Arabidopsis thaliana: one gene and its partners. The protein of the gene in region 3 interacts with the protein of the main gene of each other region in a pairwise test. Each region holds a gene or a part of one and is shown on either strand. Other genes may lie near its edges.

The links.
Region 1: the proteins of AT4G35610 (region 3) and MBD4 interact in a two-hybrid assay, tested with the Arabidopsis thaliana proteins (one large-scale study listed by BioGRID).
Region 2: the proteins of AT4G35610 (region 3) and AT5G65320 interact in a two-hybrid assay, tested with the Arabidopsis thaliana proteins (one large-scale study listed by BioGRID).

Annotation. Positions count from the first base shown.
Region 1 is NC_003074.8:23,293,303-23,297,253, forward strand, and holds MBD4 (methyl-CPG-binding domain 4), read left to right. Parts: upstream 1-1,982; 5' UTR 1,983-2,091; coding exon 2,092-2,139; intron 2,140-2,610; coding exon 2,611-3,123; 3' UTR 3,124-3,324; downstream 3,325-3,951. Other genes in the region: AT3G63020 (hypothetical protein (DUF3049)), read left to right, coding at 1,123-1,737; AT3G63040 (uncharacterized protein), read right to left, coding at 3,344-3,907. UniProt on the Arabidopsis thaliana protein: Transcriptional regulator that binds CpG, CpNpN and CpNpG (N is A, T, or C) islands in promoters regardless the DNA methylation status. Plays probably a role in gene silencing.
Region 2 is NC_003076.8:26,106,633-26,110,812, forward strand, and holds AT5G65320 (basic helix-loop-helix (bHLH) DNA-binding superfamily protein), read right to left. Parts: upstream 2,095-4,180; 5' UTR 2,009-2,094; coding exon 1,610-2,008; intron 1,386-1,609; coding exon 984-1,385; coding exon of another isoform or gene 954-983; exon of another isoform or gene 946-953; intron 826-945; coding exon 736-825; 3' UTR 537-735; downstream 1-536. Other genes in the region: AGL78 (AGAMOUS-like 78), read left to right, coding at 3,694-4,180.
Region 3 is NC_003075.7:16,898,674-16,902,112, forward strand, and holds AT4G35610 (zinc finger (C2H2 type) family protein), read right to left. Parts: upstream 1,596-3,439; 5' UTR 1,553-1,595; coding exon 737-1,552; 3' UTR 583-736; downstream 1-582. Other genes in the region: CST (Protein kinase superfamily protein), read left to right, coding at 1-41; CYCB2;2 (Cyclin B2;2), read left to right, coding at 3,071-3,134, 3,226-3,361.

The DNA of each region.
Region 1 (3,951 bases), on a different chromosome or scaffold from region 3:
ACGAGACTATAAAATATGGGAAGAAGTTAAAGAGTAGAGCTACTCCGAATGGAAAGTGTATTAGATGTGCAGAGATTCATAGAAATGGAAGAAAAATAGAAAAAGAAAACGAAAGAGAAGAAAAGTAAAGAAGAGACAAAAGCATTGAACAACGATGCTTTTGTCTTTATTAGCCTATTAACCTAAACCCCTAGAGATTCAGACACGAACCTTATTCATCTCGAATATCTCAAACCCTAAAGACCATTAAACATCATCGCTCTCTTATCACTTTCGCATTCATCATCAACTCGTCATCATATGTATGTTTTCATTCACATGGAGTTAGTCCAGAATAATAGACTGCATGCCGTTTAACGGTCTAAACAAAGACAACTTGTAGTAACGTGTTTTCTTACAAAATGACATAGCAAAATTAGCATGCATGGCTCAGGAGTTATCACATATCGTTAAAACATTTTGGGTTTGCTTTTAGCGATTGCCATTTGTCGAGTGTCTCAAAAGATTCTTGTGGCCCGTATAATGGGCTTTAGAATATCGTTCTATAAGCCCATCAAATTAATGAACTGAGTATTATTTCCGGGAAAGAAATAACGTTTTATGCAATTACGACCCAATTAACTTTATAGTTTTTTAAAACTGATGGGGAATGACCCAATTCAATGTTTTCACCCTCTCAATTGCAGCCATTAGTTAATACTGTAGTAATGTTTAGAAACTAGTTTCAAAATTTTCGTAGAAAAATTCATGTAATATTTTTAAAAATCATTCGATGTGCTGCATGCGTATTTCCCAAAAATTAAAGTTAATATGATTTAAGATTTTGTTCACAATTACTGCCACCAGAAAAAGGACGGTGAGATTAATATTTTACAGGTGAAAAGATTTTTCCAAGACAAGGTTTAATTTGACCATGCGGACCAATTTACTTACAAGGTGTCATGGTTTACAAAAGCCCGTTAAATGAGTAAATCCTGATCTGTTTGCCACGCTGGCAAAACCTCTCGCAGAGGCCCCACCAAATACTATAAATCATTAAATCTCGTTTAAGGCCCAAAAAATGATGCAGAGTTGCGATCGTAGAGAGTAGAGAACAGGGAAGGACGAGCGGTTATGTTAATCATGACGTCATCCTCTACGATTCTCACCGGAGATATAGATGAAGAACACCGCACGTCGTCAATGGCAGAGGAAGACACGCCTACGCATTCCCATCGACGGCGCTGGAGCACTCCTGTTGATTCCGGCGGCGAACCTCTTCAAAGCTTATCCGTGAGCAGATCTCTAGAGATAAAATCAGACCACGAGAATCCCGACGACGAGTGCAGGGAACATAGAGGTGTGTGTGGAGTTATTCTTGACGAATATTTCTCGTGTTCTTCGAAAAATAACAGTTACAGTTTCTATCTAGGAGGGAAGATATCGCCGTGGGGACCGTATGGACCGCCGCTGCTGACGGAGTCGAGATCAAAGGCGCCGTCGCCGCGGAGAGGAAGAAGCGTGACGAGGAAGCGAGATCTGCCACCATTTTTGACGACACTGGATTGTAACGGACGGCCGAGATTTCATCACAGGAGAGTGAGAAGCGAAGGACGGTTAGAGATTGCCAGCGTGGCAGTAGATTCACCGGAGATCGTTAGTGTTCGTGGGAGAGAAGGACTAAGAATCGGAACAGTGAGAATCAGTCAACAAAACGACGTAGTAGAAGATGATAATGAAGATAAACAGAATCACTGATCTTCCTCTTAGAATTTTGATATTTTCAGCTAATTTTCCGGGGGGAAAAAACGACATTGTAGTCCGATGATCCGTTAGAAACAAGATAAGAAAAGGGAATTATGGGCTTTACTTATGAATATTAGGCCCATAATAATATTTTGTTGCAAAACAAACCTGGGCCTGAAGCCCAAATAATTCGCTCAAGCCGACGTGTTAATTTATGATTTGTCCGTCACAGTGATACATTAAAGCACAGGCTGTGCGGTTATCACACTGTTCGCAGGAAGACTTATTTGAGAGAGTTTTACTTTTGGGGGACACAAAGATTTGGAGAAAAAGTTTACTAAAAAAGAATCTGGGGAAGTAAGTGAGATGAAGGAAGAGGAGGAGATCGGAAAACCAGCGAAACCAAAAGCCAAGGTAGTCCCACAATGACTTACATATATTTCGCTTTCCATTTTCTAGGTTCCGTTCTTTGCGTTTTTCTTCTCTTTATTGTGTTAGATGCGAACCTTCTTATAATTCCGGTCAAAGTGCATGCGTTTTTCGTGTTCTTACTGTCTTTGGAGATCTCAGATCCCGTATTAGTAGTTACTATTGATGGAGGAAGTTATACAAGGCATAGAATTCTAGGTTATCAGTTTTGGGGTTCACGATTTTTTGGTGCTTGGAAGTAAATTGTTGGTAGTTAACTTTGAAATCTTTGGTCTTGCAAACTTTGAGTCAGTCTCGTGATGTGTCGTTGCTTTCAGTTATTGCTCTAAGAAAGCCTTGGTTCTTTTCTTTAACGCTTGCTGGAGTAGTGTCGCTCCTTATTCTTGCCTTACATTATATATTTCTTCTACGCTCACAAGTCTTGTGTGGGGTTGTTTCACTGAGACTTAATGGCAGAAAGATGTTGCTCCTGGGAGGTTGATTGATACCTATGCTGCACAGTGCGATAACTGTCACAAGTGGAGGGTGATTGATAGCCAGGAGGAATATGAAGATATCAGAAGTAAAATGCTCGAGGATCCTTTTAACTGTCAGAAGAAACAGGGCATGTCTTGTGAAGAGCCTGCTGATATTGACTACGATTCTTCTCGGACTTGGGTCATTGACAAGCCTGGTCTCCCCAAAACGCCTAAAGGTTTCAAGAGAAGCTTAGTTCTCAGAAAAGATTACTCTAAGATGGATACCTACTACTTTACTCCTACCGGGAAGAAGCTCAGGAGTCGCAATGAAATCGCTGCCTTCGTTGAAGCCAATCCGGAATTCAGGAACGCACCACTTGGAGACTTCAATTTCACTGTCCCCAAGGTCATGGAAGATACTGTTCCCCCTGATCCGAAGCTTGGCTCTCCTTTTCCAAGCACTACTACCACTACTTCAGAGAAGAGCAGTGTCAAGCAGAGCCATAACTAATATGTTCTCTTCTACCTTCTTTCTGCTCCCTAAAGCAATGCGTTTTGAGTCTTTATAGATTTGATGTTCTCTAAAACTGTTATGATATTAACATCTCTAAGCAAAAAAATATGATCTTTTGTCTCTTCTTTAACCGGAACTCAAATGTTAAATATTCTTTTAATTTGGATTCTTACACCAAAGAAACACACTTATTCCTTACAAGTCCCCTCGTAAAACATTAAGTAGAGGCTACAACTCCGGGAATTCTCTCATGGCAAATCCTCATGCACCTTATAGTGAGCGGTTCCTCTTGAAGAATACTGCACGATGTCTCACAGACTTCCTCGTTGGACATGAAGCATCCGGATATGCATTTTTTATAGGCCTCCGGTTCGGTGTAAGACAGGCATTTTCTGTTGCATTTTGTCTGCAAACCCTCATTAGCAACACCTTCTCCTCCTATGACCATCATCTCTGGTTTGGACTTGGTGCGAGGGCAAACGGCCATGCAATGTTGAAAGAGTCCTTCAAAGGGGTTGCAAAATGCCTCACAGAAGGGATTGTGTTCTTCTTCTTGTCGTCCACTTGTCTCTTTCTCTATCTCCATCATCAACAGTTCATTGCACTTATCTTCACACTCTTTCTTCTTGTTGTGGATATCATGTTTACAGTTGTGCTTGCACTGTTCCACCACCAAATCTTCTACTGCACTTGACACTGTTGCACTTTCCAACACCAGAATAGCCCAAATCAGTGAGATGACTACTACCTTTGCTTTTGTTGGTATCATGCCTCTAGTCATGTTTTATAGATGTAATAGGTTATGATGATAATTTTTGTGTTATA
Region 2 (4,180 bases), on a different chromosome or scaffold from region 3:
TATTATTACTCAAAAACATGTGTCAAATTTAAACCATAATATCACACATCAACAACACTACCATAAACTTTTATCAAACTATTATGCTACATGATTTCTTATGAAATTTTGATTTCAAAATGACATTTACCCCATCCGAATAATGTAAACTAGAGAAATTTTGTAAGTTGGGCCGCTCAATGAAGGCATGCTTTTTCAGATGTTTCGGTCACCGATACTAGCGTTTAATTGTAGACGAGGCTCGTTCGTATTTCGTAATCTACACGAGCTTTCAGTAATCTCGAGGAACAATGATCCGGTTATGCAAAATTGAATCGCATCCGCGTCCGGTTTTACTGATCTAAATACGAGATATGTTTCAAAGGCCCATTTCTTGTAATGAGAAGGCCCATCGTGTGAATCTTATTATATTGCGCTTAAAATTAGCTCTTCCATAATATTAAATATCTGATGTTTCTTGAATATAACCAAATTTTACTAGTGTATAAAAGAATACACAAATATTTTTTTAAAACTCAACTGATTACATATACTCATCAATTCATCATGCTTGTATTTTATATCCTCAATTTAATAGACGTCAACACAATGTTATTAACTCAGTAAACCAACAAAAAAAAAAAAAAAACTAAACAACTTTAATGTTAATTAATTGTATATATGTAAATTACACACATAAGAGATTGTTTATACAATAAAATAGAATTTCAAAGTTAGCTAGTATGTAAACAAAATTCAACGTTCCTTGTGAACTCTTCTAACGACTTCATGCACCGTATTTGCGACCTCATTACCAGAAGGCGTCAATTGACAATCTGCCTCTACCTAATACAGAGACCAATCATTTTGAGCATATATAGTTGACTTTTAAAACAAGAAGCCTTATTTTAGTTATTTCATATAAATTTATGTTAACTAACAACTTCTATAATCATATATATTATCTTTTTCCCCTAAAACAAGAGAGGAAGAGAATAGATTACCTTGACGCTAAAAGTGAAGAGAGACATGTCTTTGGAAGTTGTGAGGTTGAGATGAAGAGTACTTAAACCTAAAGAGTTAAACTCATTGATAATCTTGAAGAGCAATCTTGGCTGTGTCTTCGTTAACACTTTAATGTTGGCATGTCTTTCTACCATTGTAACCTCCACGTCAGCAACCACCTCTAGTCGCTTGTGATGGTGGTGGCTCGAGGAGGATGAGGAGGCAGTGGCGGTGGCAGTGGCAGTGGCGGTGGAGTATTGAGGGAACATGAAGAAGTCGGAAAATATATTTGGTGATTGATTGAGTTTAGTAGCTTTTAATTGGGCTTCGAGAGATTGGAGACGTTGTTCTAGCTTCTTCAGATAGCTAATGGTCCCTTCTATGATTGATGCTTGGTCATTCTATTATAGGAAAAACCCAAAAATTTATCAATTCGCAATTTTATTTAGTAATTGATTCAAAAACAAATATACTAAATTACTATTATTTAATTAACGGCTTACTTTTAATAAGGAACCTTAACACTCTTTGTCTAAACTAAATTTTAACCGAACATATCAAATTATCAACATTGCTTAGCCTGCTTATATCCTATAAGCTAAATTAAAGATAGAAAGAAACTCACAGGTTGAGAATAAGAGAGAGGCATCATAGACTTGAGGATAGACAGAAAATGATTCATCTGTTTTCTCCGGTTACGCTCGACGGCAATGTGATTCATCCTTTGATTCTCTTTATCTACAATCGTTTTTTCACTTCTCCTTCTCCTCTTCCGCGACAGAAAGTCACCGCAACCATATCTTTCTCGTAGAGGAGATAACTTTTCAGTTAAGTGAGATTTTTGCTCTGTTATGGAGCAGGAGAGTGTCGCTGATGAATAAGAAGAGGACGAAATGGAATTTTGCTGTGACGCCACGTCTTCAGAGTTCGAAACGACGATGTTTTGAAAGTAATCCAACATTTCGTAACTTAAGGATGTTTCCACGAGTGAAAAGCCATGAGGGTAATCTTGTTGGAACATCATATATAGCCTCTCTCTCTCTCAACCAAACGAGCACAAAAAGAAATGAAGGAGTTAATGCATAAAAGTTAATGGCTACGTTATCTTTTACACAAAGTAATGTTTATGCGTGTATTTATAATGGGGTCTTGTTGGTTTGTTTTAATTTATTAATCTTTGGAGGACTTTAATAATCAAATTTTCACGACGTTTATGTAAGAAATGAAGCCCTAGCTCTGAAGAGATCAACCATTTGATTAATTTTAACCCGATTTTACGCAATAAATTAAGAAACGAATGCAATAAATTCTTAATACTAAGATCAACAATTAGTTTATAACTTTATATTTTACCCGATTTTACGCTTTATATATCGTCATGAAATCTCTCATGTTTGACTAAGGGGTATTTTTTATACCATGGACTTTTTGCTCAAAACCTCAGTTACAAATAGAAATAAAAACTCTTACAATTGATGGAAAACAATCTATAGGGAGTTTATTTATTTATTGACTGCAATCAAATATACTATCAAATAAAGAAAATTGGATTATGAAATGAATCTAAAGGGATACTTCAGCAACAGATCCCACATAACATAATCCAATAAGAACGTTCAGAGATATACACAACAAATAAGAATGTTAACTTTCATGATCGCAAAACAAATCTTAATACTTTACCATTCAAGTAATATATTTAATGAGGCATAAACAATTTATATTTCTTTGTGATTGCCAATCACAATGTCGTTTTATATGATTGGTACATTTCATCTAACAAAGAAACGAGTCTATTTGTGAGTTGAAAATTCGTGATTTGTGGTTCACTATTGGATCGTCGTTATCAATCTGACATTAATTGTACCCTATTATATATATTGTTGTGTCTATAATAAGGCAAGCTGGTTACTACATTTGTCGACTTCCACATTCCCAATTATTGTGTATTTTCTTGACTAGCTAATACATATATAACAAGAATTAATCTTCCACAATATGAATTGTGATGCGTTTACAGTGGTAATTTTGCAATAAACAGAGTGAGTATATATATACCCTTCGAACATTTAGTTTTAATTATTTGAAGAGTGTTTTTATGTTAGTTATTTTTCACAACATTCTGATTGGAGAAACAATTTATAGATTTTTGAAAACCCTTAATTAACAACTATAACGTAAAAAAAAATTTGAAAAAAAAAGAAAAAAAAAAAGATAGAAGAAACCTAGAAATAAAATGAGTTGAAATCTTTCTTCAATTTTTTGAAAACCCTTAATTAACAATTAAGAGTTTTTTTCTTAGAGACAGATTTTCCTTTTTCCTCCAAGTTTTTGTTGCACAATTAATAATTACACAATCAAATCTATAGTATTTTTTTAATTAGATCTTAATTTTGTACAGCCTAAAATAAAGTACCATCGAGAAACTAATTAAAAGTTTCCTTTTTTTTTGGTCTCTACCATCGAGACATTAATTAAGGAAATCTACATTAGATATTGGAAATCGAATCGAATCGTAGGAGCGTAGATCTTCACGCCTCGCGATTAACAACGACGCGTCGCGTTTGCTTGTTCCCGTAGGCACCAAGGCATCTATATAAACATATTGAGTTCACAATGTTTCACCCTCAATTCGACAATACTTCTTCTTCGTGTGTTCTCTCTCTCGGAAAAAACCCTAGTTTCTTGCCGAATCAAGGCAAAGTCACGATGAAGCAAGCTTCTTCTTCTTCTTCGTCACGTAATTCAACAAGTTTAACAAATAGACTTAAAACCATCTTCAAGAAAGCTGAAGAGCTTTCGATTCTCTGTGCTATTGAGGTTTGCGTCATCTATTACGGACCAGACGGTGAACTGAGAACATGGCCTAAGGAGAGAGAGACAGTGAAAGACATGGCTTTGAGGTATAAAGAGGCCAGAAAACGCAAGAAGAGCCGCAATCTTCATGAGTTCCTCGAGAAGGAGAAGGACAAGGACAAGGGGAAGACGAATTTGAAGAAGAATTGGTATCCAAACTTTGATCATTACTCTCCTCAACAACTCTCTCAATTGATTCAGTCCTTAGAACGGACTCTTTCTACTCTGCAAGAAAGGCTTCGTATTGTTGAGGCGCAGAAACTACAGAACACAAACTTGGTGCATCAGAGTTTAACACCATCGTATCTGAACCAGACCCAACACTTGAATCCTAGCAAGT
Region 3 (3,439 bases):
AGAGAGCAACGCCTGGACGGTTTGGATCAGTAGAAAAATAAATAGTTGTTTGGTATCTTTTTTTTCCGGCGGTATGAAATGATTTTAGAGTCTTTATTGTTTCATTCTCTTTGAATTAATTCTTGAAAGGTTTTGTGTATAATACTGTTTCTTTTGTAATTCTAGATAAATATTTTCATTCTATATATATTTTTTTAAAGTCTATGTTTACAGAGTTGATATTGGTAAAAAGTTTGAGAAAGTTTCATACAAAAAGAGGATAATGATGTCGTTTTTCAAAGATTGGTGAACATTTGATGGCTCTGAGAAGAATATTTTATTGCCAATTGCTATTTTCAGATTTAATTATAGTGGGATTTGGACAAAGTATTATCTTCATTTCAATCATTTAGATCCTGACAAAGGTTTCCTTTTATGATCTTACACATTCATTTTTCCTCTGCATTATTTGCATGCACTGGAAGTTGTATGTTTTTTGTTTACTATTCATTTTGATGTTGAATATTTATATAAATTTATTTGTACTTTTTCACATTGTTGCAGATTAAAATGGTGTTAAGAAATAAAAGTTAATATTAGGTCCTTTAACAAGATCTTCCTTTTCTTCATTGTTGCAAAACATTACTAATTCAAAGAATCAACATAATGTGTTAGATAAATATATCAAATATGAAATATGAAAATAATAACTATACTATGTGTTATAGTAAATTATTAAATAGTATGAAAAAATCTTTCACTTGGGTTTGTCCTCTTCCTCTTCATCTTTTGGTGGAGATTTATTAAGATCGAACTTGGCAATACATCCAGATTCAGTCGCTTCCTCTACTTGCTCCACAGGTTCCACATTCAAATCAATACCTGAACCTCTCCCACCTTCAGATCCTGGCGCATCACCACCACCACTGCCAGAAAAATCACCGGAACTTCTTCCTCCTACCGCTACACCACCAGAACTTCCTCCTCCGACAGTGGCAATAGTAAAAGCAGATCTTAGCCCGGGAATCACAAACCTTTCAGCCCCCGCAGAGAATGTAGGAGGAGGAAGAAACCCTTGATAGTTTCTATCTCTATGAGCCCTCATATGCCCAAACACTGCCTTCCACGAACCGAAACCTCTTCCACAGATATGACAAACCGGTGGTCCTTTCGGTGGATGAGTCAATTCCTTTGCTTTCTTCTTCGGCTTTTTCGCTTCTCCTTCACCCAAACCATCCCCTTCGTCATCGGTTTGCGTAGATATCCTTGGTCTACTCTTTTTCTTCCCACCACTCCCACTTCCCTCATTCATTCCTTTCATAACCGCTTCCTCTGCCGCAGCCAAAATCAACCCCGCCGCAAGAACCGCTTGCTCATTCAAACGCGCTTTTTCTGCATCTTCCTCAACGACACTACTACTCTCTCCAAATATTCTACTGCTGATATTCAAAGCAGGGAGGCCGAGAACAATTTCTCTCATATTGGTTTCTTCATCGCTCCATTGCTCATCAGATTCCTCTTTCTCTTCCTCAGTAACATCCACTTTCGTTTTCTCTGGGTTCGGATTACTCATACTATTTTCGCACTTTAGTCTAGGGATTGATGTTTCAAAACGACATTGAATTAGCCCTTATATAAAGTTTTCTCTGAACCATGGCGGTTATGACAGTTAATTCCTCTCCCGCCTTTTCGTTTGAAGATTTGCATCCGTCGTTTGTGATTGGTCCGTCCTAAACTCTGATATTACGTAAATTTGGGCTTAATATCGTATAAAGCCCATTACTAGCCCATAAGTTATTCGTACTTGGTAGGTTGGTTCAAGAGTTTTTCTTGTTTTCTGTTTGTAATCGTTTCTCGTGCGTTTTTGGTCATCGAGATTGCAAGAGTCGTTGCAACTGCACTAATACTATTATGCATGTGACATCCGACAATGACGTGACTTGTAAACTTTTGTTTTGACATATTTTTTCTTTATTTATTATTACAATAACATTATCATTTTTTTTTTTTGGGTGGAAACATTATCATTTTTATTAGCCATTCTTTATTTATTCTATATGTTTTTACTATTTAAAATTTAAACATTGATGTATACCGGTAAACATAGTTTTCAATGTCAGAAGGAAGCTCTTGAAGCTATGTAATAAATCACAAATACAACAAATTGCAACACCAAAAAAAACTAATGTAACCATTGATGTGTGATATATGATATAGCGAAGCCGCAACTGTCTTAAATATTATTTTGAATAATATCTACACACTAGACTCTAACTAAACGTTTAACAGTTTTCTAAAAATGCAGATATAAAAAGTTATCTAAAATATTTCACATATTTGAATAAGAAATTAGAAACACAATCACCTTTTGACCATTCTAAGGAAATTCAATTACAATAACTATGACCAGAATCATCTAGCCTAATTTTTGATATTCTCTAAATTAAATATTTTTAAAAAGCTTGACCAAAAAAAAAGAAATGGCAAGAACACTTACTACAGAGTCAGCATAATTCTCGGTAACAATAATTCTTAGGAAAGAGAGCAATTCTTAGCTCTGTAGTAAAACACAGATTAATAAGCTAAGATTAAGATTAAAGAATCAATATGTTGACTTTAAGATCTTAGAGCCGCGCCTTACGGAGGCTCTGGCTAGTGGTAACGAGCCTTCTTTGTCTGAAAAAGGCAACAAAAAAAACACAAAAAAGGAATAATAAATTTGAAATGAGAAAGAGAGAGCCACCACACACACCACATGGCCAAAAAAGTTACCGTTGGGTTTAGACAGACTTAGAAACAAATCGTTTCCTTCATGATCCAACGGTCATCTTAATCACCTAGCCGTTGCTATTTCCTTCAATAATAAAAAAAAATAAAATAAAAAAAGGTAGCAACTTTAATTTTAATTGATTTGATTTAATTTCTCTCTCTCGCTTATTTCATCCCCTTCTCTGACTCCTACTGATTCATTCAATTGCATCAGACGTATACACAGAGTCACAGAGAGAAGAGAGATCCTTCTTCGTTTGATGCTCTTCTTCTTCTTCTAGATTCTTCTCCAGGAGCACTATCAAATCGAGTAAAATAAACAATGGTTAATCCAGAGGAGAACAATCGTAATCTCGTTGTCAAACCCATTACAGAGATTCTTCAAGGTAGTAGTAGTAAAACGCCTTTGAAAAATCTGAGAATTATAGGTCTGACGAACAGAGAGTCTGATGTTGTTTTGTTTCTGGGTTTTGTCAGATGATGATAAGAGAAGCAGAAAATTCGGTGTAGAGATGAAGAGACAGAACAGGAGAGCATTGGGTGTGATTAATCACAATCTCGTTGGTGCAAAAGCTTATCCTTGTGTTGTTAACAAGAGAAGAGGCTTATCTCAGTAATATACTTAACTCTCTCGAATCCTAAAGTTTGTCTCTTTGATTCTTGGTTTTGGGATTTTGATGATTATTTTCTT